Linked DNA regions of Oreochromis niloticus. The protein of the gene in region 1 interacts with the protein of each later gene in a pairwise test. Links are inferred from orthologs where the notes say so. Each region holds a gene or a part of one and is shown in the gene's direction. Other genes may lie near its edges. The genes, in order: khdrbs2, chtopa, ptk6b and dock2.

The links.
Region 2: the proteins of khdrbs2 (region 1) and chtopa interact in binary tests that used the Homo sapiens proteins (3 or more experiments, as listed by UniProt). The two-hybrid records come from large-scale screens. The link is inferred for Oreochromis niloticus from reciprocal best matches to the Homo sapiens genes KHDRBS2 and CHTOP.
Region 3: the proteins of khdrbs2 (region 1) and ptk6b interact in binary tests that used the Homo sapiens proteins (3 or more experiments, as listed by UniProt). The two-hybrid records come from large-scale screens. The link is inferred for Oreochromis niloticus from reciprocal best matches to the Homo sapiens genes KHDRBS2 and PTK6.
Region 4: the proteins of khdrbs2 (region 1) and dock2 interact in binary tests that used the Homo sapiens proteins (3 or more experiments, as listed by UniProt). The two-hybrid records come from large-scale screens. The link is inferred for Oreochromis niloticus from reciprocal best matches to the Homo sapiens genes KHDRBS2 and DOCK2.

What each region holds. Positions count from the first base shown.
Region 1 is NC_031978.2:20,112,392-20,119,386, reverse strand, and holds the start of khdrbs2 (KH domain-containing, RNA-binding, signal transduction-associated protein 2), read left to right. Parts: upstream 1-3,985; 5' UTR 3,986-4,363; coding exon 4,364-4,454; intron 4,455-6,995. UniProt on the Homo sapiens protein: RNA-binding protein that plays a role in the regulation of alternative splicing and influences mRNA splice site selection and exon inclusion. Binds both poly(A) and poly(U) homopolymers. Phosphorylation by PTK6 inhibits its RNA-binding ability.
Region 2 is NC_031985.2:35,541,941-35,549,789, reverse strand, and holds the start of chtopa (chromatin target of PRMT1a), read left to right. Parts: upstream 1-4,839; 5' UTR 4,840-5,166; intron 5,167-5,799; 5' UTR 5,800-5,824; coding exon 5,825-5,889; intron 5,890-6,934; coding exon 6,935-7,085; intron 7,086-7,849. UniProt on the Homo sapiens protein: Plays an important role in the ligand-dependent activation of estrogen receptor target genes. May play a role in the silencing of fetal globin genes.
Region 3 is NC_031984.2:955,545-963,205, reverse strand, and holds the start of ptk6b (protein-tyrosine kinase 6b), read left to right. Parts: upstream 1-4,645; 5' UTR 4,646-4,883; coding exon 4,884-5,302; intron 5,303-7,661. UniProt on the Homo sapiens protein: Non-receptor tyrosine-protein kinase implicated in the regulation of a variety of signaling pathways that control the differentiation and maintenance of normal epithelia, as well as tumor growth.
Region 4 is NC_031966.2:22,944,353-22,951,320, forward strand, and holds the start of dock2 (dedicator of cytokinesis 2), read left to right. Parts: upstream 1-3,962; 5' UTR 3,963-4,121; coding exon 4,122-4,164; intron 4,165-5,998; coding exon 5,999-6,082; intron 6,083-6,968. UniProt on the Homo sapiens protein: Involved in cytoskeletal rearrangements required for lymphocyte migration in response of chemokines. Activates RAC1 and RAC2, but not CDC42, by functioning as a guanine nucleotide exchange factor (GEF), which exchanges bound GDP for free GTP.

The sequences.
Region 1 (6,995 bases):
GATAGTGTTATCAGTCTGTCAGTAAAACGTATAATGTTGCACTTTGACCACTAGAGGGCTGCAAGAGTCCATCAAATGCATATAAAGAAATATACATAAAAGTTATGATCAAAAGAAAACGTTTGTTATAATTGTGCTGTCAGTTATACTTTGATAAAAGTATTTTCTTAAAGAAATTAAAAGAAGTTTAAATTTTACTCTCACACACAGAAAGCTAAACTTAAAACTAAATTTTAAGTTCTGACCCTAGTAGTTCTGTTGATGGACTATAAATAAAAGATGGATGTTGCCACCGTGGAATAATAAACAGTATAAAACATGGACATGATTTATGGGTCAGAAATATGAACCCACTGCAGAAGTGTCTTGAACCTGCATTCTAACTATAGGTCACCAGATGGCGATAGCTGTTGTTTGCAAAAAAGACTTTGGGTCATGTTGAGGTTTCTCATGTAAAGTCATGTGCACATTGCTCAATAGTTGTCTGCCATATTGGGCATGATACCACCACTGGTTGGTAGAGAAAGGTACAACTTTTACTTTGTAGCAAATGATCTACATTTCTGATGTGCTTCACACTTTTTACTGTTTCACTGCAGCTTGGAGAGCAGCTGGGAAGTGTTCATGGAGAAAACCATCTCTTTCATTCAAACTAGGACCACAGCAATATGCTAGCAACCAAAGCAATTGGAAGGAGTTATTTGCTAACCAGTTGGTGAATACACATTTTTTCCCTAGCAACAGGTGGTTGCCAGATGGTTACTAATCACTCTCTGCTTGTGTGACCAGGGCCTTATTCACTTGATCCTACATCGTTACTGTATATTCTATTGTCACAAAGCCAAAAATGGCAGACATGTTAACATCACATGGTTAGTGGTCACATGTCTGTAAAACCACAATAGAAGTCTATGGGGGGAAAAAACGCTTTCTTTCTTACCTTAGTGAATACTTTTTTGATAAGTTAGTGGGCTAAATTAATGCTTTTGGGTCACCTGGACTAAAAGGGTATGTTTATTTTTTTCAATCTTGGTATACTATTTTTGAAAAAGGAGCATTATTTGTGGTATTCTTTGGGTAGGTCTGCACAGACCTTCACCCCTTTGTCACATGCTATCTGAAATATCTTATACTGTGGATTCAAGTCTTGAAACCTCAGAAACCAATGGATGACATCATGGTAGCTATATCTACCATTTATGTAGTTGATCGGTGTCATAGAACACCACGTTTGGACTAGTGGTGAGTAACAGACTAATAAAAATACTAGAATCGTACTCAACTGAATTAGAAAAAAAAATTTAAAAATTCCATCGAGTGCTGGTGTGCTATATACCTGTCAGTCTTTTTACCATTTACAAATATGGTAAAGAGGACCAGTGTCTCAAATTAAGCCTAGCGGATATGGACAACATCTCCTTGTGTCTGTGGACCTGTCAGTCAACGCAATCGCATCCTTAACTTTAAATCTTTCCAGTATCCATATGGATGAGTTCTTAAAAATAAAAAGTTGAAGTGAGAAGAAATCTAACAGGTTCCTTTTTTTTATGCAGTAAAATTTGGAATGTTAAGATTTGAGTTTTTGGAAACTGATTTGCTTTTGCCTCTCCACTAATAAATGCCAGTTTGAGTCTTGTGTTGGCTTAATTTTGGAATATTTTTCATCTCGTTGAGATGATGAAAGAAAAAAGTTTTTCTGTAGAAATCTTTAGAAATCTATTAAAAATTATGGTTTGTAATAAGGTGTCTATGGGTTTTTTGTTATTGTTTTCATCTGTTGGTGTGTGTGTGTGTGGTGTGAGTCTATTTCAATATGCCTGCATTAGTCTACATCTACAAACATACTATAGACTTACAAGACTCAAACACATTAACCGTCATAACCCTCATTACCATTAATAGTCACAGCAGCAGCAGCATGATTTGCATTAACACTGTCATAAATCATTTTATTGAATAGAATTAAATCAGTGAAGGTCCAGCGAGCATGAAATGCAAAGACAGTACTGGCCAACATGGCCATAGCTGCTTGTTTTAGGCTTTCAAGAAGAAAAATAAAGCTGTGTCTGATTTCATAGAGAAAGGAACTTAATGAAAAATAAATGGAAAGGGGATGTAAGTGTGAAGTTTTAATCAATACTAACTCCTTTAAGGCTTGTTTGGCATTACAGAAATAAGCAGATTAATGAAATAGTTCTGTCAGACAAACCCACTTGGGTATTCTGGCCTCTAAAACAGTCTTTTAAATCACCCTAAAAAGCCATAAAAAAGTCATACTCTGTAATCTTCAATGCCAATACACAATTTAAATGAAAGAAACCTTTGGCTCAGTTTTATGGATATTTCCAGCCATTAATGTACCACAGAGCACCCCAAAACAACAGCACTAGATTTCCAAGACAAATGTCCTGGTTTCTCAGAAGATATTAAATTCTACCAAAACTGAGAAGAATCATAAATACTATGAACATAATTGACTCATATTCACAAAGCATTGCTGTTTGCAGCCGCGAGGAGCCTTTATGATTCTGATCAGTGCGGGGAGAAACAACTCTAAAGGTCAAGTGGAGCCAGAATTGGTCGTTCACCAGCCTCATCTGCTCAAATCTAATTTGTGAGTTAGTAAAGCAGCCTGCATGCTGTGCCGAAGATGACTTTTGGATTCAAGTCAATATCATGGCTTGGGGACAAGAGAGCCATTTGATGAGATATAAACATTCATGCTTACAGTGCTGACACCACTAACACTGGCTCTTGATGAGTAAGTGAAGAATTCACTTTATTATTAAATATCTATTTATATTAAAGCTTCTTTATGCCAAGTCTGCCACTGACTATGCAATCAGCTAAAGCTCTACTAGAGCTGACCTTCTTCAGCCATAAGAGGGGATGCAGCTCAAAGGATGTAAGGAACTGACATAAGTTCATTAAGTAACATGGAAAAACTAATTAATGGTTTATTTGGCATGCATACCTTTAAATATATGATTCACTCTGTAACAATACAGCCAAACTTCCTTGACAGCAGCAATGTCAAACTCATTTTGTATCATGGACCAGATACAGCCCACTATGATCATAAGTGACCTAGACTAATGAAACTCCCATGTATATCAGTATAAAGAAGTTTAATTGCACATTTAAACCTTGAGACATTTTAATATAAGAAAAAGAATGTTCAGTTTTAAGAGTACATCTCGGTTTTTCTACATTATAAAGAAATGCTTTTGTGCACAATGGATACTGTGGAATGCATACACAGTGTGTCAACCCCCCCTCTGAGAAATTTTTGTGGTAGACAGTACAAAACACAAAAATAGCATCAATAGCCATGTGTTAAACCTTTATCAAAAGACAAAAGTGTAAAACTCACGAAAATACAGTTAAAAGTTAAAAATCTATGCCTTTGTTGACAGTTTCCAAGGCTGTCCAGCGGGGCAGGATTAGAGTCTTTGCCAGACTGATTCTGGTCCCTAAGCCTTATGTTTGACACCCCTGTTTTAGCGTGTGGGACAGAGTTAACGAAGTGGATCATGTCATGTGGAGTGTGAAGAATAGTATGCTGTATGCTAATTTAGGTTACCCGTAAATCTAAGACAAATTAGATATGTACAAACAAATCAGACAGCAGCCAGTGTTTAGCACCATGAACAGTTGTGTTGTCCCTCACAGGTGAATGCCTGCGGGCTACTTTGTACTGACTTTGTAGTTACTTTGAAACTCACGAGCTGCATAAAAAACCCATTTAATTAAGCGACATTTATATGGTACAGTCTGTCAGTGCAACAAAACTTTACTAGCATGCTTTATTTGTTCTGTTTGAGTACTATATCCAATATTATTAAAGTTTCCAGTTGAAAAAAAACCGAGAATCTATAGTTTCGGGGTGACATTATTTCATAGACCGTTGTCAGCAGCGACCAAATGCAACCCCATCCTTTTAAAGCAATTCCCTTAAAGAACACTGAGCATTTCCTTTGCGCTCAGCGGGGACCTTTCTTGGTGTTTCAGCAGCGCCAGTCCCAGAATATGGCCAATAATGTTGCTGAGGGGCGGGGAGCAGCGCGGTCTGCAGACCCACTGAGTCTGGCGGGGTGCCGAGGAGAGGCAGCAGGCAACGGTAGCAGAGATGGGCTCACACCTTTGAATCACAAATCAGCCCCCCCACCCCTACCCCAGTCAAGCATCTCGGGAGACACTGGAAGACCAATTTTTGGAGGGGGTTTTGCTGGTGTTCCTCATTAAGACCGGTAGACTACAGCTACCAAGAAGCAGGAGCGGCAAGGTTTATAGTTGCATTGTGACGTTCAGCACTCCTGTCGTCTCACCTGCACTGCCGGTGAAGAGGTCCGCTGTGATAAAGATGCATCCAGATAAGTACCTACCTGAGCTGGTGTCCGAGAAAAACAGCCTGGACCCCTCCTTTGTGCATGCGGTGCGCCTGCTTGCAGAAGGTAAGTCAAGTATATATGTGTGTATATATAGAAAATATTATTTTTTTTTCAAGTCTAATGCACTCTGAATGTTGGACTTGGCGACAGTCACGATGTTCATTCTAACGTGAAAGCACAATTGCATTGAATTTTGGGGCAGTACAGTGAGCTGATGTGAGCTTGTTTTTAACACATCACTCTTGACTTTTAGTGCTTGCGTGGCGACAGTTGAATTCTCTGTGCTGTGCGTTTAATGTAGACACTGCTCTTCGGCTCCAGTGAGGAACTTTTGTTGGGTTTTCCCCAAAACTTCAAGTGAACAAATGCTGTGAGCAGAGACACTAAAGTATGTGTACAGTCAGAGGGGGTTATTGTAACCCCACTGTCCGCCAAGATCAATGCGCTGGCTCGCATAAAGCGAATGTCTTCCTTGAGGATTTCTCATTGACTTCAGGGCAAAAATAATAAAAAAGGTGCCACATTCGTCAGTCCAACAATCATAGTACTGTATTAAGGTAAACGTGCTCTTAATCCTGTTATAATACTGTGTGCTGCCAGCCAATATTTTTTCTGTAAAATATGTGAATTGTGTGGTCATTTATCAAGCCAAATATCACCTCTCTAATATTTTAATTATTCCACGTGAGCTAAACCTTGGAGGCTAAAATCAAAGTGTTTGTAATTATTGCATCATGAGTCATAGATTTCTGACTGAACGAAAATTGATAGATGCACACCTCCTCTTACAGGATAAATGCCATCAAGGTAATGGAGAACAGAAAATGTCAGTGAAACATGCTGTAAAGCCTTTCCTCCAGAATAATGTTACTGTATGTCAACAGAGTGCCGCAATCAGCCTGCAGCATTTAAAGTACTTTGTAGCCTTCATCTCATTCACATGCTGAGAATGTGTCACTTCTGATAGGAAGTGTGTCACCTCAAAGCGAACACAAAAACTCAGCTCAGCTCATTCAGCCCAGAGATGCAACTTTTGCATTTCTCGTATAGACTGCGTGGTCTCTCTTCCTGTAATTGCACAAGTCTGGTTGATGTGCAGTGCTATAAAAGCTCGGATAAACGTTTGAGTGACGTGCTACTGGAGTGAATGGCTGAATGATTATCATAAATGTGAATGGATGAACCTGCGTGGCCTTACCAGGAAAGACAAGACAAACCAAACATGACAAGCAAGCAAACCAGTTAGTAACGTATTCCTCTACAAAACAATATATCAGCCATAAAATGACAAAATTAAACATAAAATGCCATCATATGTTACATGACTGTAAAACACTCAGTGAAACGCTCTCTACTGTTTTTCCTGTGTGCTAAACATGTTATCACTAGTGATTCTGAAGGCAGTTGATTTAACTAATTTATTAGATCATGCATGTATGCTAATTTTGGGTTCTGACATGTTTGTTTAAAAATGTAAAGTCACACTTTGTGTTAATTAGCTGCTGGATGGGGTGTGTGTGCACTCTGCTGTTCGGCCCCTTGAGCTTTCCTGTTGAAATGTGTTGATGAGACACCTGACACTCCCATTCTTGTCGCTAACTGGGATGCAGATGGGATCATCTGTCACACAGTACACTTTGCCATATGTACTCAAGCCTAGCTGACGCAGCCAGGATGCAAACAAAGAATGCCATCTACCACTATGAACTGCAATTAGCATGTTACATGAGGATACCTATGTATTTTCTTTACTAACTTTTTTCTCTGAGCAGTTTTAACAGTTCACAACAAATACACACACTACAATGCCCCATAATTAACAATACAGTACAGTCTTCAATATTACAGTACAATACTGTAGAAAAAGTAATACATTGGAATGCATTTGTCTGAGAAGAATGCTGTTGGCAAAGTCAGTAAACAGAAACCTCTCTGTATTCATCAAACACAAAAGTGGCCAATCAGTATAATAAACTGTCAGTTCAGTCAGTCTTGCAATGTCCAAAACAATCAGCCGTGGGCAGCATGTGAAAAAATGTTCAGCACAGACTTGTTATCTTGTGTTGTCAGTCTATGCTCATGGATAATGCAAAAACCCTGCGTATCGGTGGACAGCAAGATAAACTGCGTTTACAGATTTACAGATTCGCAGCTATTTATCACTGAATATCAAAGGATGTAATCCCGTGTTATTAACATCATGCACAATCAATAGCATAACATGGATTAACCGTGGTCACAGTTAGCATCTCCATATTTATGAAATGAATTATTTACTGTTTGTGTTTAAGTTATGTTGCTTCTAAAACCGTTTGTCTTTCTTTGAGCTGATTTAAAACTCTTTGGAACAAAGCTCCAGTCCGCAGCTGTAAACTACGGGTGGGTGGGGATAATTCTCTTGTCGAGCTGAAACTAAGCTTCCTCTTATGAAGCAGCAAGGGTTGTTAGACAGAATATATGAATAGATTGGTATATTATACAATCAAAACTGTATGCAGAGTATTTTGAAACTGCTACAACTTTCTTCCACAATCTCAAATGCAGATTTTTTTTTCTTGGACATGCTGCATGAGGCTAATGATTCCTCAGACTGACAGATAAGAG
Region 2 (7,849 bases), on another chromosome or scaffold:
CAGACCCACTGTCTCCTCGTGCATCTTGCCCCTTCCTCTCGTGCACGCCACAATAACAATAGCTGGGAGACGACGTGCGCGTCAGTGTCTCGACACGCCGCAGCCAATCGGCGGTCAGGTGTCACAGGGCACGCACCTCTCGGCCAATCGCGCTGTGGTTCTCACAGCAGGACCGCTAGCCACGAACTGTCTGGTTCGCCTAGATTGGCCCGCGAGACTGTTTTTCTAAAGTGGCGCCGCTGAGGATTAGCCCCGAGTCACCACCACCAACACTGGAACGGCACGGCTCGGTATTTGAGCACGACTCCAGCGTTGTAGGCTCACACTGAATCACTGAATACACCAACAACGCATGTTAGTTCACTTACACGTCATTTACATGTGCAATAGCACAACTTTATCCTTCTAGTAGCAAAAACAGGAAAAAATGGCACTCACACAATCCTTACACAAACACTGCGGTAACGTCCGGGGGGGGGGGGGGCTTATTCCAGGATAATTTTTTAAATCAGATGTGACCCTTGTAATGAAAATTCATTTTAGATACTGTCTCCCAATAACAAGGCAGAGGTGTTGAGATTGTTGCAGAAGGAATGGACTCAGTGAAATGTTGACATTCACACTCCAAAGAGAGAACAGTTTTGTTACCATTTACAAAATGTCAGATCTGTGAAGACGAGGGATTTCTCCTAATGCGGTGACGATTTGGTAAAAATGACAGACAACTAAAGACACTATGCTCTACAGGTACATTTGCATTTAAGTATCTTTAAGTATTTAATGTGTCTATAGCTGAAAATACAATTCAACATGTGCAGAGAATTTACTTTCCACAAGTAGGCAAGTTTCTACTCTGATTTATACAAAACAGTCCCTCTAAGTACTCTATTAACAATACGCATCTGCTTTGAAACTACTCCAGGGCAAATGTGGATATTAAACAGCCACAAAATTAAGAGGGGACAAGCTTGTGCTTTTTAACTGCAGGACAAATAAGAGGCAGCGAAACAAACTACTCAGATCACATCATGACAGATAGCCAGTAGTCTACATTTGGGGCTTTTCTGATACAAAGTCTTATAATAATTTACATTATCTTCAGGTTTTAGTAAAAAAAAAAAAAAGGGAAAAAAAAGAGAGTTTATTTTAGGAAAATGTTTGGATTAAAATACACCCTTTCAACAACATTAGTCATGTTGCATGGGAGAAGGTCCTGAAGCAAATGACCTCCATGTGCCAGTGGCTCCAGCAGCAACCACAGAAACTGTTCATAACATCACAGGTAAAGTATCTTCTTCTCTCTTGCATGTTGTAACAGGAGCAACATTTCTAACATTGCAGTCATGGATAGAAGTATTTATTGTACATTATATGGACAAAAGTTCTGAGCCACCTACATATTACACCTGGACAGGGAACTGTAACAACTTTTTCTGATTTTGGTTCTGTAATTCACCACAATGAATTTTCAATTAACTTGGATGCAGCTGAAGTGCAGACTTTCAGCTTTAATTCAGTGGGTTGAACAAAACGATTGCATAAAAATGAAAGGACCTGGATCTTTTTTTAAAACACAATCGCTTCATTTCAGGGGCTCAAAAGTAATTGGACAAATTAAATAACTGAAAATAAAATGTTCATTTCTAATACTTGGTTGAAAACCCTCTGCTGACACTGACAGCCTGAAGTCTTGGACTCATGACATCACCAGATGATGGTTTCCTCCTTTTTAATGCTCTGCCAGGCCGTTACTGCAGCAGCTTTCAGTTGCTGTTTGTTTGTGGGCCTTTCTGTCTCAGGTTTAGTCTTCAGTAAGTGAAATGCTCAGCTGGGTTAGGATCATGACTGACTTGGTCATTTAAGAATATCCCACTGTTTTTCTTTAATAAACTCCTGGGTTGTTTGGGGTCATTGTCCATCTGTACTATGAAACATTCAATTTGACTGCACTTAGCTGGATGTGAGCAGACAGGCTGTCTCTGAACACCTCAGAGTTCATTCTGCTGCCTCTGTCCTGTGTCACATCATTAATAAACACCAGTGTCCCAGTGCCACTGGCAGCCATGCACACCCGAGCCATCACACTGCCTCCCCTGTGTTTTACAGATGATGTGGTATGTTTCTGATCATGAGCTGCTCCACACCTTCGTCATACTTTTTTTCTTGTCATCATTCTGGTAGAGGTTGATCTTGGTTTTGTCTGTCCAAAGGATGTTTTTTCACAACTGTGCTGGCTTTTTCAATTCTTTTTCTTAATCAAAGTCCAATCTAGCCTTTCTATTCTTAAGGCTTATGGGTAGCCTGCACCTTGCAGTGAACCCTCTGTATTTATGTTCATGCAGTCTTCTCTTTATGGTAGACTTGGACATGGATACAGCAACCTCTCCTGGAGAGTGTTGTTCACATGGTTGTGATGGGGTTTCTTTTCACCATGGAAATGATTCTGTGATCATCCATCACTGCTGTCTTCTGTGGCCGTCCGGGTCTTTTTGTGTTGCTGGATTCACCAGTGCTTCCTTTCCTTCTCAGGATGTACAATCTTCCACTTTTCACACCAGTGAATACCACTTCCAGTTGATTGTGTATTATCTTGGAGTGAAAATTCACCAACAGTGGCGTCTTGTACACTTCCACACTGCCATACAGTGAGCTCTCTACAATGACCCATTCTTTCAAAAATGTTTGTGAAGGCAGGTTGCAAAGCCAGTGATTGATTTCACACAGATGTGGGAATAAAAACATCAAAAGATTAAGAGCTGTGGCTCCTATAGTTTTGTCCACATAGTGTATCTATTTATTGAGTGCATTAGAATTATTACATAAATATCTCCACTGTATTGCAAGCCCGTACTCTGAAGTTGTCAAATGGTAAGCAGACAGCAGCTTGGAATTTCACTGTGACAAAAGCAGTGCAGAACATCAGCAAGGTATTAAACAAAAAGACAAGCAAATGTCAAAGGAAGACTGGCCCCTCCTGTTTTTTAGCTTCCTATAATCACAATCATCCTTTGCTGCTGATCAAAATAGCTCACAGTATTTGCTGTGTGGAGCAGAAGGAGGTTCAAGGTGAGGTTCATGGTTTACTAGGTGAGCGGGAAGCAAAGACGCCCGAGGTCTCCAGTATTGTCTTCCTCCGCGCCGTCTCTTTGGCCACGTTGTGGTTGAGCCGCCTCAGACGTTCCTGGACAAAGAAAGCTCAGGTTGTGTAATGTTGTTTCTGTATTGTTTTTACACCATTTTGAGGCAACTTGAATAGTTAGTATATCTGTGGTCGCCATGGAAATCGGAATTACAAGTCTCTTCATACAGTATTTGTAGCGCTGGTGATGGTAGCAATATTATTAATAGCAGTAATTATTATTTATTATAGTGGAAGTTGTACAGTGGTAGTAATACAACCAGTGCTAGTGTATAATTGGCAGCAGTATAAATAGTTGTAAAGGTGCACTGGTACAGAAGCAGTCAATTCAATTCAGTTTAATTTATATAATCACAAAAACATAAAGTAAAGAACTTCTTCATTTCTTGCTGTACAAAAGTTTTAAAGCAGCTTTAACTCTATCTGGAGTTGTTGGTCCAGCTATAAACACAACAACAACTTCCTTTTAACTCAGCTTGAATCTGCTAAAGATAAATATCTGGGTCTAGAGCTGCTAAATGCTCCACTATGTTCACTTGCTACTTTCTAAGGCTGGGATTCTACTTGCTTACAGACATGTACACCAGTAAACATCAGGGCCAGGAAACTGGTTCTTATTATACTTATTTTTCTTAAAGTCAATCTCGTCTACCTTGAGCATGTGTGCACTGCAGAGTCTACCTAGACAATTATAATGGAGTAAAACAATTATTTGCCCCATTTGTTGCATATTTGTCACACTTGCATGTTTCAGAGTATTAAACAAATTTAAATATTTTGCAAAGATAACCTGATGATTTCAAAAAGTTATCCAAACCTACCCAGCCCTATGTGAAAAAACTAGTGTCCCCTAAACCTAATAACTGTGCTGTGGCAATGACATCACACAGACACCCTGCAGTTACAGCTGTACATGAACATGTGGATGAAGTCGGGCAATGTCAGGAGAATCAAATTCAGACAACTTCCATAGTTACTCTACCTCACATGTTCTACTCAGGTGGCACACGTGATCCCCACTCACTGTTCTCTGGTACCGCCCTTATCGGGGCTCAATATGACATTAGACTAATTTCTTGCCTAATGTCTGATGTGACCAAGGCTGTACAGGCATGCTGACAGGGGCAGAACATGTGATACAATTTCTCGGGGGCTTTAAGAAGCCCAGCTACAGACTGGTACCGACCTGAGCGTTCTGCAGTATGTTGTTTACTAGCACAACTCTACGCCTCGCATTCAGCAACTTCTTTACATATGGGTCCAGGTCCAGAGCCACCTTCTGATGTTCGTTTATCCTGCATAACTCTGAAAAAACCAGCACGTTATTTATGAATCTTTTATAGCTGATGCTATATTTGAAGGACTTCATGCAGGACTTTACCTGTGGCCAGACCGTCTATATGTTCTCTTAATTCCACTTGGCTTTTTCTGCAAAGAAACGAATAGTCACGTGAGTCCAGAGAAAACTGAACAACAAAACAATCAGTCTGACGGGGAAAGTCAGCTGACTGTCAATACATTGGAGAGAAAAAGCTAGCACGGTTTGCAGTCTAATCTAACGAGGAAGCTGATTACCTGACCGAGTTTACATGCAGATCGAGCTGCTGTATTGCTGGTCTCAGGAGGTCGAGCAAACCCTCGGCAACAGCATCGTTACCAGAAGAACCTTCGACTAAAGCTGTAGCTGCCATTTTACTGAACCAGCACGAGCGGACAGGAAGTCGTGTCCTCGTGACGTCAGCGTCACAAGAACCTCTCCATTTTCTTCCCATCAGTGTAGCCAGGAGCACCATTTTAGGCTTTCGGATCGCGGAGGAGTCTCGATTCCCACGTTTTACAATATTCCTGGGAGAGTTTGATATAGGGTCGCTTACTCACGCGCTTTTTCAAGCCGCGCGTGCGTGGGGAGTTAGTATATGGTAAATTGTATTTAAACAGGATACAAGGACACCTATACGAAGCCGCTGTGCTGCTAAAGCTAACCTTAGCTAGCTTTGAGGCATTTCTCTACCAACGCAGAATCCGCTGTAAGTATGAGATAAAGTTGTTATTCGTCGATAAACGACATGTTAGCGAAGACGAGGCGGAATCGTTACTCCTTGTTCTTGTCTCTGCAGTTTGTTATAACCGGATGGGCGCTCGCTAAACATTTCATTTTTCCAGCGGACGTGATCGATAATTGTGTTCAAATTAAAAATTTCCCCTAAAGAATCGATCATTTTAAATGCCGTTGACACAGAAAAGAGTTTAAAGAAGTTGAAAACTTTGCTAAGTCAACCAAACTGGCAGTCGGGCTGGTCTGAAGTTTAGCTTGGGTGGGAGGGGGTCGTGTGTTACTCCTACCAGGAGGACTGTTACTTAAACGATCCCAGTAGGATTTGTGTGAAACTGTGTGTAGTCCTCAAAATAATCTCTCTGTTAAACACACATGTAACAGCTGTAGATGTTAATTACAGCAAATTCCTTGCAATAGCGATTTAACCCTGGAGAACCCATGGGGTCAGATCCGACCCCATTGGTTTTCTAGGGAAGCCATGGGGTCAAATTTGACCCCATGGCTTCTCCAGGGTTAAAAGTGGTCATTTAACATCTAGTAGTAGTGCATACATTATGTGTAAAAGAGAGGGAGGTGAAACAAGTTCTGTCTTTTCTGTTTCCAGGACTCTACAATCAAAGTCTTTCAAAATGAGTGCAGCTGCCTCCCAAAAAGTTGTCCTGAAAAGCACCACCAAAGTGTCCCTAAATGAGCGGTGAGAGGCTACGCACCCTGTCAGAAATTAGTCACCTGCTGCCAGCCTTGGCTTGTGAAGGTTCTAATACTCTCTACGGAAACCTACTGTTGGGACCAAACCTGTTATGGATGCAGCTCTGGCTGTTCCCCGTGTGTGCGCTGCTCATTCAACTCTGTTGGCCCTGTCCTTGTTTGTGTTACATGTAAATGAAGTGTGGGGCAGAAGGGGCTTGCCCAGGCCAAATGTTTTGTGTGAGCAGCACACACATGTAGATGAGGGGTGACTGTAGCGGTCGTGGTTGGTAAAGCATACGCAGAACCAGACCACCGTCCTGTAAATACCTTGGCACGCTGGCTCCCTGTTTAAACAGCACTGTATACGTCATGTATACACCATTAAATGGGGCAGGAGAGCAGAGAGCTAAAGCTAAGTCACTGAGATGGGGCATCTTGTCTTTTCTGCCTCTCATCTTTTTCTCTCTCAGACCAGTCAAAGTGAAGCTTTTTATCTCCTCATGTTCTACCATGTCTGTCTTCTTCTTCTTTCCTCCTTTCCCTGCTCAGAGTACTCAGTCCTAGCTTGGACGTGACAAGGGACTACCCCTTCCCCACCAATTCCCTAGTTCCGGACCACTTGGTGGTTTAAATAAAGTCACGGTCCATCCTGTAAGTGGCTGGGTGCCAAAGCACACCTCATGCCCTGGCCTCTGCTGCTGCGACATGATGACATCCCCGCAGTGTCAGCTGGAGGCTTGTAAGTGGCAATTGTGGCTCTTCTTCTGAAACTTTCTCTCTCCTGTCCTGAAGTCTGCTTTCAACTGTTTTTTCTCCTTGTGTTAATTTTACAACACGGGCTAAAGTCAAGTGTAAGTAACTCTGGAATATCATATGATCGAGAGAGAAAATAAGTGCCAACAAGTGGAACAAAGTCTAACATGACTAAAGAGCTGCCACGATCATCCATATGAGAAATGACATGATGTGGAACCCTGCTTCCTCCTCCTCTGTATATCCCCTGTCCCCTTCTTTTACTTCCTCCTTCTTTTTCCCTCCCACCTCTAAAGCTTCACTAATATGCTGAAGAACAAGCAACCCACTGCGGTAAGCATTCGAGCCACCATGCAACAGCAGCATTTGGCTAGCGCCCGCAATCGTCGGCTGGCCCAGCAGATGGAGAACCGGCCTTCGGTGCAAGCTGCTCTGAATCACAAGCAGGTGAGCGCGACGTTCAGGTGAAATTGGTGTCCGTGGCACTGTTGGTTCGATCTGAGTATGTTTAACCCAAATTAAGGCTACGTCCACATGTACATGGGTATTTTTGAAAACGCAGTTTCTTCTGTGCGTTTGGGCCTTTGGTCCACACGTACACAGCGTTTTGCATCACTGAAAACAGATTATTAAAAACTGTTTTTGTGTTTATGTGTGGACGAAGAAAACAGAGATTTAGTCACTCAACGCCAACGGTGTGCACCTTTTTTGGCATCACACGTTATTGTTTACATGAGATGAATTTCTACAATGATGTTGACAAAATACTGTTGCTGTTAATCTGAGTATCTGCAGTTTTTACATGCTTACGTATACAAACACAGTTTAGAAAGACATCTTTGTTTACACTTTCCCTCCCAGGCTGCTCGACTTCTGATTGGCCAACATTTCTACAGGGTTAGGATTGTATCCAGGGGTGCACATAAGTGGTCCGCAGGTGCGCATTCGCTGTCAAAATAAAAGACGCGCACTGGATAAGAAGTTGCAACGCGCGTTTGCGTACATAAGATTTTCTGGAGGAGGACAGACATTTGTTTAGAACTCTTAAAGATGTCAAAGAAGCTCCTTTAAGCAATTACTTTGGTGTTCCTCCACCTCCAAAGAAATGTCAGAAGGAGTCCGAACCGCAAAAGAAGAGCGTACTCTCAGAAAAGTGGTTGCAGGAGGTGAGCTGGCTTCAAACAAATGATGAACACACAGAGATGTGGTGC
Region 3 (7,661 bases), on another chromosome or scaffold:
GGACAAAATACTCATTTGCCTAATAATTCTGCACTCCCTGTATAAACTACTACTTAGCATGTTTGCAGTATTTGGCCTGTTATAAATATTTGTTGGTAAACTAAACCTGTGTAAAATATTAATTCTAAACACTTTAAAAACAGTAAGCCAACAAACAAAAACACTTCTTTAACAGTTATCTGTTTCACACTCAGCACTGTAATATAACACATACAGCTCATCTCCAGCGAGATAATGTGCAGCAGTGAAGATAAATCTGCCTTTTAGGTCCAAGACCAGCTCGAGCGCAGCCACGGTCCCTCCAAATGATCCTTCACCTCAGCAGAGAATCCAGATCCCGGGAAGCTGATTCTGTTCATCTGGACGTTTTCACTGAAACGTTTCATCATCATCCAAGACTGAAGAAGTCACTGGGATGAGTGACGAAACGTTTCTCCCACTGAAACATTTGGACTTGTAAACAGCACATTTGCACAATGACTAACAATGGGCCGTGAGGTCAGTTTAAGATCACTAATGATCATAACCGCTGATCAGTGGTCATGAGTCACAGAGAGGTGGGGAATGGTGCAAAGCTTGGCTCTGTGTAGATTCCCCCTGACTGCAGAAACCACGTGAAACCACCGGGCTGCTGGTGCAGCTGATACAGACGGCGGCAGCGTGGGCAGGAATAAGAAACGTGATGTTAGAGCAGACACTGTGTTTACTGAAGAGAATATGACATCAACAGGATGCTTCAAGGTGTAAACGCAGAGTTGAGATCCCCCTGCACTGTGCAGGTTTGAAGTAATCTCAACATTTTGGAGCTTGAATCTGGTAGTTGAGATTATAGTGATGACACAGAGACCTCCCAGCACGAAAGACTCGGCGCTCTTCACCAAAGAAAAATGTCAAAATAGCAGAAGCAGCGTGCAAAAAGAAATGTGTTTTACAGAATAAACTGTTTAACAGTCAGGTGACGTCACGAAGCGAGCACAGAGCCGTTTGCTCGGAGAGTTCACCCACGCCTGATTATCTGACACCAGGCTGATTCTCTTTTTGGTCAAGCTCAGGATAGATAAAATAGTAATTACAGGTAGTTTTATTAAACATGGCCACCCAGACCAGAAATAGTTAAACATGTAAATATTGATCAATAGTCACTTTTTCTTAGACAGAGTGTGTCCCTTTTCTTAATATAATGTTTTATTCTTGAAACTGTAACAGGTAATTTAATTACAAATACTATAAGTCTGTGTTATACAAAAAACTATTTATTTTTAACCCATTTTTTTCCAACAGCATGTAAAATACTTGTAGTTTTAAAAACATATACATATTTGTGCATTTAATGTTCCTGACTTCTCAACTTGGCACAGACATTTTCACAATGACATTTTCTTAATGATTCTATTCAATTATTTTTAAAAAACATTTTTCCAAACAGGGTGGAAATATATATTTGTTCATTAAAAAGTACATCAGAATATAAACACTGTGACACACACCATAGTACCACATAGAAATTCCCCTCTCCCCCCTGCGGGCGGTCTATCCTGCACCTGGGGTCTTGCCTGGTGTGATAGACCCCAGCCTCTATGGATCTTGTGCTCAGAGCTTGTTCTTGTGCTGCCATGATTAGTGCCTCTGTGCTGTCTTTCAGTCCAACTTTGTCCAGCCACTGGTAGGATTTCTGGATATCAGCCACCTCCTCTATCTGCCGGGGGTACATACCGTGCAGGGGCCTGTCCTTCCATGATGGTTCCTCCTCTTCCTCCTCTGTCTTGGGTTTCTGCTGCCTGAGGTATTCCTCATGATTCCCTGTGGGTACTTGCAGGGGCGGATCTAGACAAATTTTCTTGGGGTGGCATGAGGGTGGCAAAGAAATCAAATGGGGTGGCAAAATCAAGGCTTTTTTTCCAAACACATATGCAGGTGGTTACATATGGTTAAAATGATTCAAATGCAGTAAGTATACACGTTTTTCATATAAATATAGTCTATAACTTAATTATTGTCTGTAGCCCACATAATTACACACTTTGGTTACATAAAACATGTGAGTTTTGATCTTATGTACTGTATAGCCTGTATAATAAATAAATATGTAGCCCAATAAGTATAAAATCCAGAAAGCTACACAACATGGAGCAGTTCATTTACAAACACAAGTCTAACTTAAGTTTCACTGTTTTTGGTTAGAAAACAGTCACATTGTTACAGCTTAAATTACACAAAATGTCAGAAATCTGCACTGTCATGAACAAAAATTTAAACCTAATTTTTCATGATTTGTTGGATCTCTGAGGTCTGAAATACAAGCGGCCATTTTTGACTCCTTTTGAGTTTACGTTTGTATTTCACCCTCAGATTGTTTCATTTTATTCCCCCCCCCCCCCTTGCCTTGTTTGGTATCTTTTCAGCTCAACTGAATTTAGTTGTTTTTGTCACTGACATACTGCATTAGTACTACTATTACTATTAATAGTACTATTACTGATCTGAAATCACACAAAGAACTTAAAATCCTAGTAGTATTTTTACTGTAAAAAAACCCACAGACATGTTGAGTAAATTTATATAACTTGAAATGCAAATATAAATTGTACATTTTGCCTCACAAATGATGTGTGCCAGTAAAAAAAGTTTTTCCACCAAAAGACAGAGGAGAGCAGCACAGGGACAAACCTGCAGGCCTGACAACAGCAGGTGTATCACTCCGCTGGTTTTCTACTTAGTGACAGTGTTTACAAATGTGCCTTAGTGACATTCATTAGTGCCCTCACTGACACACACAACAAAACGACTACACAACAGAACAGCTACACAAGACAACACAACACACTAAGTATACACTCCACACTAAACGTCACAAATCTCCCACATCTAAAAACTCCCTCTCTCTCTCTCCCTCTCTCACTCGCTCGCTCTGTCTCGCTGCCGTTACCGTCACTCCCAAAACTCTCCCCTCTTCCTAAACAACAAAATCCCACATGTTGACTTTTTTTTTAAATTGGTCGACATGGTGCATTTTTCCACTGATAGCAAAGAGGTGGCTTCTTTTCCTTTCTTTACTGTTTTCGCGCTGACCTTAGAAAACGCTTAAAACACACACACAAAAACGTGACGACAGTATTTAGAAAAAAGCGTGGCTTATATATATTATCATAACTCTGGATTTACTGGCCTGTAATTAAAATGTAAAAACTTGGAAGTCCGAACTTTCAATGTGGGCTGAAATAGAGACTCAGCGTGGCTGCAGCTTGTTGCTGTGTCAGCTTACATCAGTCATGTGATTTGGAGGTGCAGCGTGTCCGTGGACCACAGAGGGTTAATAACACTCACCTTGCTTCCATTTCCAGAGTGTAACATCCAACCACCTGTGCAAAATCCAAAATTCCCATGGTGTTGTTCAAAATGTGCTCTGGCACAATCATGAGCATCGCTTGCTGCTGATAACAAGAAAAAAGCCGGTCCTGCTATGGGCTGAACCATTTGTTAATGGTGGAGGGGGGAACACTATGCAATATATTCAGTTTTAGCATTTATATTCACTGTTGACTGTAACTACGCTCAAACTGTTAATGCTATCTTATTTTAATAAACAACACTGTCATATGCAAAACTGGGGTGGCACTTGGGGTGGCAAGGGATCATTTTAGGGTGGCACTTGCCACCCCATGCCACCCTTCTAGATCCGCCCCTAGTCACTTGTATCTGTCCTCTATGTCTGCAATGTTGCCTTCTGGTTGTTCGATCCCCTCAGTTCTGACTATCTTTCCTCTCTTTGTTATTAATTAATGATAACAATAATAATTATTGCTCTCTTTTTATCATTTTCACGTGATAGTTCCCCCCCAAATTCCACCCTGTTAAGTCTATGAACCTAACAGGGTGGAATTTGTTTAGCTAATCTAGCTGTAGCTCTTTAGCTGATCAACATTTAGCCAGCTAACCGTCAATAAATGAACACACCTTTATTAACTCAATCCAACATGTTTTTTAAAAATATTCTACTTAATTAACATTTTCCTCATTTGACCTTAACAGGGTGGAAACTTGAGGTTGACCCATACAGGTGTAAAATGTTTAAGATGAAAAAAGTAAAGTGACAGTTGAAGTTTACCTCATTTTCCACAGTTCAATTCCCACCAAAAACAAATGATGCCACTTCCTGTAAATGGCTTTTATGGGCTTATTAAGGTAATAAAGCACATTCTAGCAGGGTGGAAAATTACTACTGGGACAAGTACATTATGAAGAAAAAAGTAAATAAGTTTTATCAGATTCAATTGCATAATAAAATAAAGCTTAGTATAGTCTATCAAATTGATATATATAATTTTATGACATATACGTCTGGAGGAAGTTAATAAGGGCACTGTGGGACACAATGAAATTGAGCGTGTGTCACCGAAAAGGTGTGTAAAATAAAAAAAATCATATTTGAAACGCATTTCATTTATGTTTAAATAATTGCAAACACTTAAACACATCATTTAATTACTTTGTTGTACATATTTGGCACATTTTAGAAAAAATCAGGTAAGTGAATCATGTGGACATGAAATGCTGTCACCACGTCCTGCTGTAACCCGCGAGCTGAGCGTGCGGGGTACCTTGGCAAGACACCTGCGCACCTGTAAAACCCCGATGTGTGTGTGTGTGTGTGTGAGCGCGCGCAGATTGATGACACCCTCTGGGGGCGGGGCTCCCGTGGTTTCTGTGACTAAAGGAAGTCCCTCCGTGGGCTCGGCCCGTACAGTTTCACTGCGCCGTTCCCCTCTCAGGCATTCCCGACATTCTCCGCGCTCCCTGCTCTGCACCTGTCGGACAGGTGTGGCGGGCTGACTGAGCCGAGCTGCGGTGACGCACAGCCCGCGCGGAGCCGTTCATGGTCACCCATGGGTGAGTGTCTGCGCAGAGCGTGCCCCTGCCTGCAGTCACTGTGGGAGAGGATCCTCACGGAGAAGAAGGCTCCTCAGCCAGCGGGAGGAGCAGGAGGTGAAGAAGAGGATGGAGGAGGAGGACGCAGAGGCACCTGCAGCGACAGCGACGGGGAGCAGCCCCAGGCCCCGACGCCGCCTCCGAAGCCCCCGAAGGAGACCGCCTCCGAGGGCAGCTGCATCTACACGGCCATGTGGCCCTTCGAGTCCCGGCACCAGGAGGAGCTGTCCTTCCAGGAGGGAGACCTGTTCAGGGTGGTCAGCCGCAGCGGAGACTGGTGGACGGCGCGGAAGATCGACCGCAACGGGCACGTCGTGGCGCAGGGCATCGTCCCCAACAACTACCTGGCGAGGGCAGAGTCCATCAACGTGCAGCCGTGAGTGCAGCTTCCTCTGACGGCTCCCAGAGAGCAGCTCTCGCCTCTGGGAGCTCCGAGGGCCATCCCGGTGTCCGCGTTAGACAGAAGCACGTGGCGTGTCTGTGTCGCAGGAGTAGAGCAGGACATTTCCAGGATTGTTTCAGGGGTAACACACCTGATCCAGCCCCGAGAGTAGACAGCTCAGGTGTCTCATCTCTGAGCTTCTCCTGTCCAACACAGAGTTTACACTCAAACCCGACAGGAGCAAAGCTTCAGCACAAAGTGTGGCAGTATAATCATCCATGATTTGATTTAATGCAGCAGCTGCAGGGGATTTAATGACCTCCACACTGGGGCAGCTTTATTTACACAGCATCATATGATTCACACCATAAAGTCAGTACAACAGGCAGACACTAAAGCTTCTAAATGTTTACACTGAAAATGTGACGCAGCACAAGAATGAAGCAGCAGAGTGGTTTTTCAAGAATGTACGAGTACATTAAGTGTATACTTCAGAAAAGTGTCACAGTAATTTCTGATTAATATGTCACAGAACAGGTAAAGGTGTTGACAGGAAAGCTAGAAGATTTCCAGCTCAAAGGCAGAAACTCATTTTATCTGAGCAGACAGCTGACAGTTCAGTGGAACAAAGACGCTGCTTCACCTGCACACACGTGTGTGTGTGTGTGTGTGTGTGTGTGTGTGTGTGTGTGTGTGTGTGTGTGAGCCCACATTCAGAATCTCGTTTTTTATTATGTTCACGAGGCTGCTGTGCCTCCAGCTGCAGATGCATAAATCAGGATGTGTAACACCTTTATTATCAGCCAGAGTCCACAATGTCCACCTACCTGCCAGGAACTGTAAACGCTTCCTTTAACCTTTATCACCTTATCACACATTTATCCTTTATCGCATTAGTAAAACTGAGGTGAGCAGTGAAGCAGAGTGCTGTAAAAAGGCACTTTGGGAGTCAAACGGCTGTTTTCTACTGCAGTAAAGTGGGCATGTGCGTCCTGTTTACAGCTCTGCCTAAAAGTGGAAGTTTCTGTAAGTTCTGCTTTCCTGTCACTTCTGTGAAAAGATGCAGGCAGTCAGCACGGAGCGTTAAAAGCAGCCCCGCTAATCAGACGCTTTAGGTCACGGGTGTCAAACTCCAAACTTTTCCATGTATCCCTGCTGCAGCACACCTGGATACAATAAGTAGGTCATTAGCAAGACTCTATAGAACCTGAGTGCATGCTGAGGTGGCAGTTCAGCCATTTGATTCATGTTACAGCAGCTCATGAGTGGCTGAACATGGTGCAATAAAAGTACTTTTTTTCCAAACACTTGTATTTAAATTTACTTGAGTAGGGTTGGGGGTTGTCACCTCAGCATGCAGTCAGGTTCTATAGAGTCTTGCTAATGACCTACTTATTGTATCCAGGTGTGCTGCAGCAGGGATACATGGAAAAGTTTCAGGACAGCAGCGCTGGAGGACTGGAGTTTGACAGCTCTGCTTTAGGTGAAAAAATGAACAGTTCACATTATGAAGGTTAAATGTTATTAACGCTCAGCTTTTTAACGTTTGATATGAATATTTGGATGCTGTTAATCATCTTTTTGACCTGTTAAAAAACACAAACAAAAAAAACTGAAGCTTCAAAAGCTGCAGTTCCTGTAACGTCCAGCAGGGGCTCCAGCAACGAGTCTCTCATGTTAAAACTTTGCAGCCGAAATAAACATGTTTGCAGCCTGATGCACAAACTTGTTGGTCCCTAGAGATATTTTGTTTCTTCGAGTTTGCATTATTGGGGCGTGGCCTCATTGACTGACAGGTGGTGGTGACACAGGCGGCTGTAGCTGCTAGCTGTCTGCTAGGCTTTTAGTCAGACCTCTGTTATTAATGACATCATGTGACCAGTATTATGGCTGCTGTGAGGTTACTGTACTAACAGAGCATCCAAGAAGGTGGAGCTCCAAGTTTGCTGAGTGAAATTCTAGTATTTTGATTGGATGTTATGGATCAGCAGGTGTCTGAGTGATGCACCCATAGAGTCTGTGCTGACCCAGATAGCATCAGCTGATAACTTAGCGCTCCACCCGCTCATCCAAACATGTTCCCCTCAGGAAATGGACTGAGGCTTCAAAATGTGAAAGTATAAACAAGTTACATCCGTCTTCTATTTACAGTGTGATAAAACGCCAGCGAGCTGCTCGTCTTTATAACGTCACACTTTGTGCTGCTCGTTTATTTTTGTGGTTGTCCAACAGTGGCAGCTTTAATTGATCCTGACTGAGCCGTACGCTGTGAGCACCATGAGAAATGTCACAGCTTTACATCACACCAGCCCGTGTTTGTGTTTCAGCTGTGATGCAAACTGGGACGCACACA
Region 4 (6,968 bases), on another chromosome or scaffold:
GAGAAAGAAACCCGGTCGGCTCTTCATATACACTGAGTCACAATCAGCCCCTGATGACAGCCAGCTGGCAAGAATTCGTATTTTCCACCCATGTGTCACATGACCCAACAAACCAGACTAAGGGTCATGTGCAGTAAATGGCACTTGCTGAGCACTGCTTACCTTTGAAAATAATCTCTCATCTTCCTCTTCTGTCCTCATTCTTTCTCCATCTCTCAGGCTTGCACATTTTTGGTTGGGTTTTTTTTTGCTCTCCCTGGGAAATATACTTTTAGCTAGCTGACACAATTTGTGTCAGAGTGCACAGAAATGTTTGCGTGCATTTGATTTGTTGAGCTACTTGGAAAGAATTTGAAATTGTATTTGACACCACCTACTTAAAAAAATTACTTTTTATGCTCACTGTCTTCTGTAGTGCTGAAACACTGACCACAACTTCTCATGTGCACCTTGAACGCATCACAGGGATGAGAAGAAAATAGGCATGTTTTGAGAGTGAATAACAACCTGTGGGATGTCTTTAGTTTCCTACTACTGAGCAAGTATCTGCATGCCATCATATATTAACTAAGAGTAATATTAACAAAGAGTTCACTGTACTCAAATGGCCTCCATAGTCATTAGATCAGTCCAATAGGGCAGCTTTGAGATTTGCATCATGCAGATTTTCCTCATGGAAAAAAGTCTGCAGTAACTGTGCGATGCTATCTTGTCAATATGGATCAAAATGTCTCAGGAATGTTTCCAGCACATTGTTGAATCTATAGAGCCACGACGAAGCCAAAACTACTAGCAAGGTATAACTAATAAAGTGACCAGCGTGTGTAGTGCCTAGTCTATGTCAACACTATGTTCAGAAAACAATATATACTGATCAGTCAATCAATCAGCCAAATCTTTATTTCGAACATGTAAGTAACAAGTGTTAATACATACTAAAACAAATAAACACGAAATCGCTGGAAGCCTTTCTACTCACAAGGAAAACCAAAAACCAAAAAGCTGACCATTTCCCGTTCAGAAAGGAGCAGGAGGAAGCAAATACTTCTTACTGATAAGATATAAGGAAATATTTGAAAAAACCAAACAAACAAACCATTTAAGAGCTCTAGCCCCCTCTTCTGGATTTTCTTTTTGACCCATACATACAGTTTTTTTTAATGTGATTTCTTTCTATCTATCCCTTTTATTCTTATAAATAACAGTTTTTGATATACTGCACATGTTAACTTAGCTGGCAACTCCAATGCACCAAGTTTATCTCTATGTTTAACAGCTGAGAAGCTGTGGTAAATATGCATGAACGCCTTGCTGTGAAACTCTGCCATGTTATTATGATAAACCGCTACCAGGAATTTAGATTTACTTGTGATTGTGTTTTGCAATGATGTCCTGATTTGCAACTTCAAATGATGTTACTTGAGAGTCACAAGGTGTGGTTTCAAATGATCTCACCTACATTATAACACAGACTATATGAAATGTATACTTCAGGTTCTGAGAAGTGAAGCAAATGCAGAAGTGCCTCAAACCCACATTGTTTTCTAAGGTTACCAGCAGGTGACTCTTATGACTTAAGGTTAGGTGCCATAGTCTATAAACCTCTGTGAACACTTTCCTCGTTACAGGGCATTGAACCCTATACGGTGACTTAACTGACCATGATTTGAAACGTAAAAATCAAAAACTAAAAAATGGGTGGCCTATAAAGGGACATGTGTTCACTCTCTATGTTAAAGTCACACTGCATAAAACATTCATTTTGTAAAGCCTGGTCCCTACTAGAGTCAAACAGGATGATATATTGACAAGCAGCCTATGAGCACCGGGTGATTTCTTGGTTAGTTCAATTCTTGCCACATTCAGTTTCATTAAGTTTCAAATCACCAAGTTGGTAAGGGCAAAAACTTTACACTTGCAGCTTCTCAACACAACGTCCCAATGGACAAAGCAAGAGTAGCTCTACCTTTCATTTACAGTCTATGGATTATACACATTGGCTATCACTTGTGAAGTACCCAAAATCCCTTTATGTCCTCACTTTAGTAAAGAATACTATTTCATTTTCAAGGATCATTTCAGACATAGCTAATTTTAAATGTGTGATGTGAGTAAGCCTCTAAAATCACCATCATAACAAAAGTAAAACACATCACCCACAATAACATTGATATGCTGATGATAGATCAGTTTTTGATGTGTCTGTCAGGTTTTGACAGCCTCAACCAATGATGCTGTCAAAACCTGACAGCCATAGCCTTATTGGTTGAGAGCCAACCTGCCAAGAGGCCTTTTATATTTTACATTGGCTGTCCAAAAAGTAATACTCACATAGAGTATTTTGATTGGTCCTTTGTCTTGTGAAGATCTCCAGAAGAAACTAATCCCTGAGTCATCCATATTTCCCCTAATAGGGACTATAACAGAAGACAAGCTGCAAGGACAATCAGCGACCAATTGAAAATGGTTTGAAGAATTGAGTTTATATTCACAGGGTACTTTTTAAAAAATGGCTTTGATTGCTTTGGACTGTCATACTAATGATGAAGTTCATAAAGACTGGAGGATGATTTTTAGGTTATAAATGGATCGTTTGGATATTAATTACTTCCCACTGGTCTCTGAAAAGTTACTATTTACTATTCTAAGAGTGTAGGTTATAATTAATGTCAAGAGAGCGATCAATAATATTAAAAAAGGTCTCATCAATTATGGATGCTTGTTGCCAATTGCTGTGTGAAGGATGCTGTCAAGAATGGAAAGCTAATGGTTACCAAGGCAACATAATCTGTGGGAGGTACAGGGTAAATATGTGTTTATTTAAGGAGTGTTTTCTTTAAAGTCCACAACTTGAATATTAGTTTTATATAAGATTCTTGAAACCAGGAATTCAGGGCCCAGTTAACATCTGCGTCACTTCACATCTCTCGCTGTTTTTTGAGGTACGAGTGCAGTTTCAGTTTAGAAAGTATATAGAGCTGCAGGAATGTTCCCGATTAAAGAGACAAAATTGCTGCGGTTGCTATACATGCAGTCTTTTATGTGTCTTTCAGCTAACATTGCAAACATTAGAAAGTTTTTTAGTGACTGCCAAAGTCAAATAATTTTTGCTTCATCCTGCTGAAATGTGGTCATTAGCTCCTTTTCACTGTATTCACATGCATATTAAATTAACCATTAATGAGGTATGGAGAGCTGGCCAGGCAGGCAGGGCTTGATGACGTGGCCTCTGGGTTATTACAGGCATTTTTTTTTTAGTCTTTTCAGATCAATTTTAATGAGCAGCAAAATTCATATAAAAAAACAGAGTGTGATTTGATGTCTCATGCAAGAAAAAACCCAAGCAGCTTTTAACACATCGTCCCTTCCTATTCAACATAAAATTGTTAAAGATCAGCATTGGTATTGTAGTGCTTGCCTAGCCATTCGGATTGTTATAGTGTTTTCTCCACTTTTACCTTTCTGGTTGTAGATCGAGGAGGAGGGGGGGGAGTTCAAATTATCTGTAATAGAACACATCATCAAGCCATATCCTCTGATGCTTTGCCTTCTACAACATTTGATTTCACAAGCTCAAATGGTGATGCACAAAGGAAAAGGTCAGGGTATGTTATGTGCACGATGGCTGAATAAGCTGTGAGACTAATGGTTTAAGTCATCAGCGGTTCAACGGCTAGATGCTACTGTGAGAAAGCAGACAACCTGCGTTTTTCAGATATGAAAACATGAAAAAAATAGCAACAAAAAATGTGCACGTATTGGCCCGGTTTGACACTCAGACATCCTCTCGACTCTAACCCTTCTGTAACTGTCATCATGTGCTACTGACGTTTTACTTTGAATAATGAAGGCGAGTCTAAATGAGGAAAGTAGAGACATCGCAGGCTGCAAAAGCCTGCGGGTGCTGTAGGACTCCACCTTGTTGTACTCACCCACTTCCTCTTAACCGCCTGAAGGCAGGAAGAGAGAAGACACAGAAGGGGAAGAGAGGCAAAGGGGGATGGGCTTATTGCTTTCATTTAACGTTAAAAAAATGCAGAAATGAGAAGTTAAGGTGGACGGACAAACTAGGAGATTTATAAAGACAAAAGTATAAAGTAGGTAAAGGATTACACACAATCATGGTTCCTTGGACGAAAACCACAAGAGAGCGGTATGGTGTAGGTAAGTCAACATGTGCTTGTTTGTATGTATCTTTGTGTGAGTATGTGCAGGCACATCCAGTTTTTATGGTGCCTTTCTGTTACGGTATGATGCTAGCCTATACAGCCAATGAATAGAAATGAGAAAAATAGATTCCCATCACTTCCTGCTTGGCGGATGTAGGCAGGTGCCAAAGGCCTCAAAGAGCTTTAGGAGGTAGACATCAGCTTTAATCCCTCCAAAGAACTGAGATCCTGAAATCTTATTCATCATTTAACTTCAGTGCAACTACGCTAATTATAGTTTATTTGCACTGAAGAGGTTCGTGCAGTGGTTTGTGAGGGATAAAATCATAAGCAAAGATGGAGAAATAAGCAGCTGCAAGTAGGCAATCTCTACAAATTGCATAGCATGCAGCACATAAATACAGAAGCTAGAAGATAAACAGTCCTTAAAAATTTTCATTTTTGAAAGTGAAAGCCTGGTTTTGGCTAGGAGCAAATCCTAGAATGAGCAAGTACAGTGTGCAGTTTATCTGTTATGTATGTGGGTTTAATATGGCGGAGCTAATCAGTGTGTGTTGCCATTAGATATGCAGTGCAGGCACACACTTGGAAAAGACACAGATTTCTGCCTCTTAATACAGACTTTATTAACTGAGGTTCACTGGTCTGTTGCAGCCACTGCATTGATTTATCATTTAACCTACTTGCAAAAAGATAGACCATGTAGGGTTTTTTCCACCTGAGTAGTTCATCTACTGCTAGCATGAGACTGATGCTGACAGTGGGTGTGTGTTAAAAAGTCATTTTAAAGCACTTTCTAATATACTTACTCAAAGAAAATATTGTTTATTGTATCTAGTATAAATATCTTCCTGGTCTGTGTAAGACTACAACACAGGAAGTGGGGGAAGAAGGAAGTCTCAAGTTTGAATACAGCAGAAAAGTCTGATGCAAAGAAAAAAAATGTTGACAATTTAGTCTCACGAAGTGCGCACAAATAAGCTTCCTTTTCCTTTTCTATCAGTTTAAGCATCGGTCTAGAAATATTCTGGCTTTTTTTTCTTTTTTTTTTTGCACAGTCACAATTTCATTAGCAGGCATTTTGTAGCTGCAGTTCTTCTTGAGGGCAAACCATCTCTAAGCTTAAATGGAGGAGAGCAAGCCTCTGAACTGTTGCACAAAGAGGAATGATAGACTCTGTAGCTGTCGGTGCTCTGCACACCTTTCCTCTGCCGTGCAACTGGTCTTTGGCTGCAAAGCATGTCGCTACTCATTGCTGCTTTCAGTGTTTCCTAAATCTGATCATTTTGACTGATACAGTCATTAAAGAAAAGACAGAAAGCAGAAAAAAGAGCCAACTAACGTCTTAAAATTGCTCCAGATCTCCGGATTATCAACAGCCCAAAACCTAAACAAATGCTGCTTACTATCGCATAAGCCCAGCCTGAGGCCCAATGAAGAAAGGCGTTGCTCCTCAACCTGTTCCGTTGCCTCCCTACTCGTGTGTGCCACCGTTTGCAGCTGGCCAGCATCTGGATACACTAACTTATTTGGGCTACCTATTTATATTTACCTTAAGCTACTTAGTCACCAACTACTATTGTGTTTCACTGCTACTTGTGTTTTTTTACTGGTTAGCCTTTTTTTTTAAGTCTTATAACGTGTGACGTCATTAATCAAGCTAGCTCACCGTGTGTACTAAAATCTTCCTGTAACCGACGCATTGCCACTGCACACTTAGTGTTTGTGTTCAAGTTTATTTTTCCGTTGTAACAATAACCTTAATTATATATTCAACTTATTTATTTATATATTTATTTTATTCACTTATTTTTTTTCTTCTTCTTTAGTAAAGTGGAACTTTGTTGGCCAAAATGAGAAGCACCTTTCCCTGGAGGTGGGCGAAACTGTCCACATCCAGGAGGTTTGCGAAGGTAAGATAGTGTTAAATAAGACGTTTATCTGGTTTGTCAGTGTGGTTCAGATACTTTATACATAGATGTGTAAACCTTTGAAATTATTTGTTATTGAAAAACTGCATGTTAGTAAATATATTTTGTTCGTGTATTTGTAAATGTTACATTTTATGGAGCATAAACATGATAAATATATGTAAAATATAATATGTACGCTCAACTGCCACTTTTTTAGGTACACCTTTGTACTGGGTTTAAGCCCTGTTTAGCCTTCACCATTGCCTTAATTCTTCCTGGCATAGATGCAACAAGATGCTGGAAACATTCGTCAGAAATTTTGGTCCATGTTCACATGATAGCATAATACAGTTGGTGCAGAGTGAACCTTCCTGATGCAAATCTCAAAGGTTGGATGGAGATTTGGTGTCTTAGCCAGATGATTTGGGCTTTGTCACACAGAAACAGCCATTAGAGGCCATCAGAAGATGGGTACACTCTGGCCATAAAAGGATGAGCATGGTCACGAGCAATATTCAGATAAAAAATGCTAAATTGGTACTAAGGAATCTAAACTGTGACAACACAATACCCCCAACACCATTACACCACCACCTGTGTCTGAAGTGTTTATACAAGGCCGGATGGTTCCATGCTTACATGTTGTTTACACCAAAGTCAGACCCTACTATTTGAATATTGCAGCAGAAATCAAGACTCATCAGACCGGGCAATGTTTTTTCCAGTTTTCTACCACCCAATTTTGGTGAGCTCAACCACATTGTAGCCTCAGTTCTTAGCTGGCAGACAAGCGAGCCTCGCTGTAACAACAGTGCATCGTTCAGAGTCCCTTCAGTCACTTTTTCAGTCTGAAACTCTGTTTGAACTTCTTAAGGTTGTCTTGAAC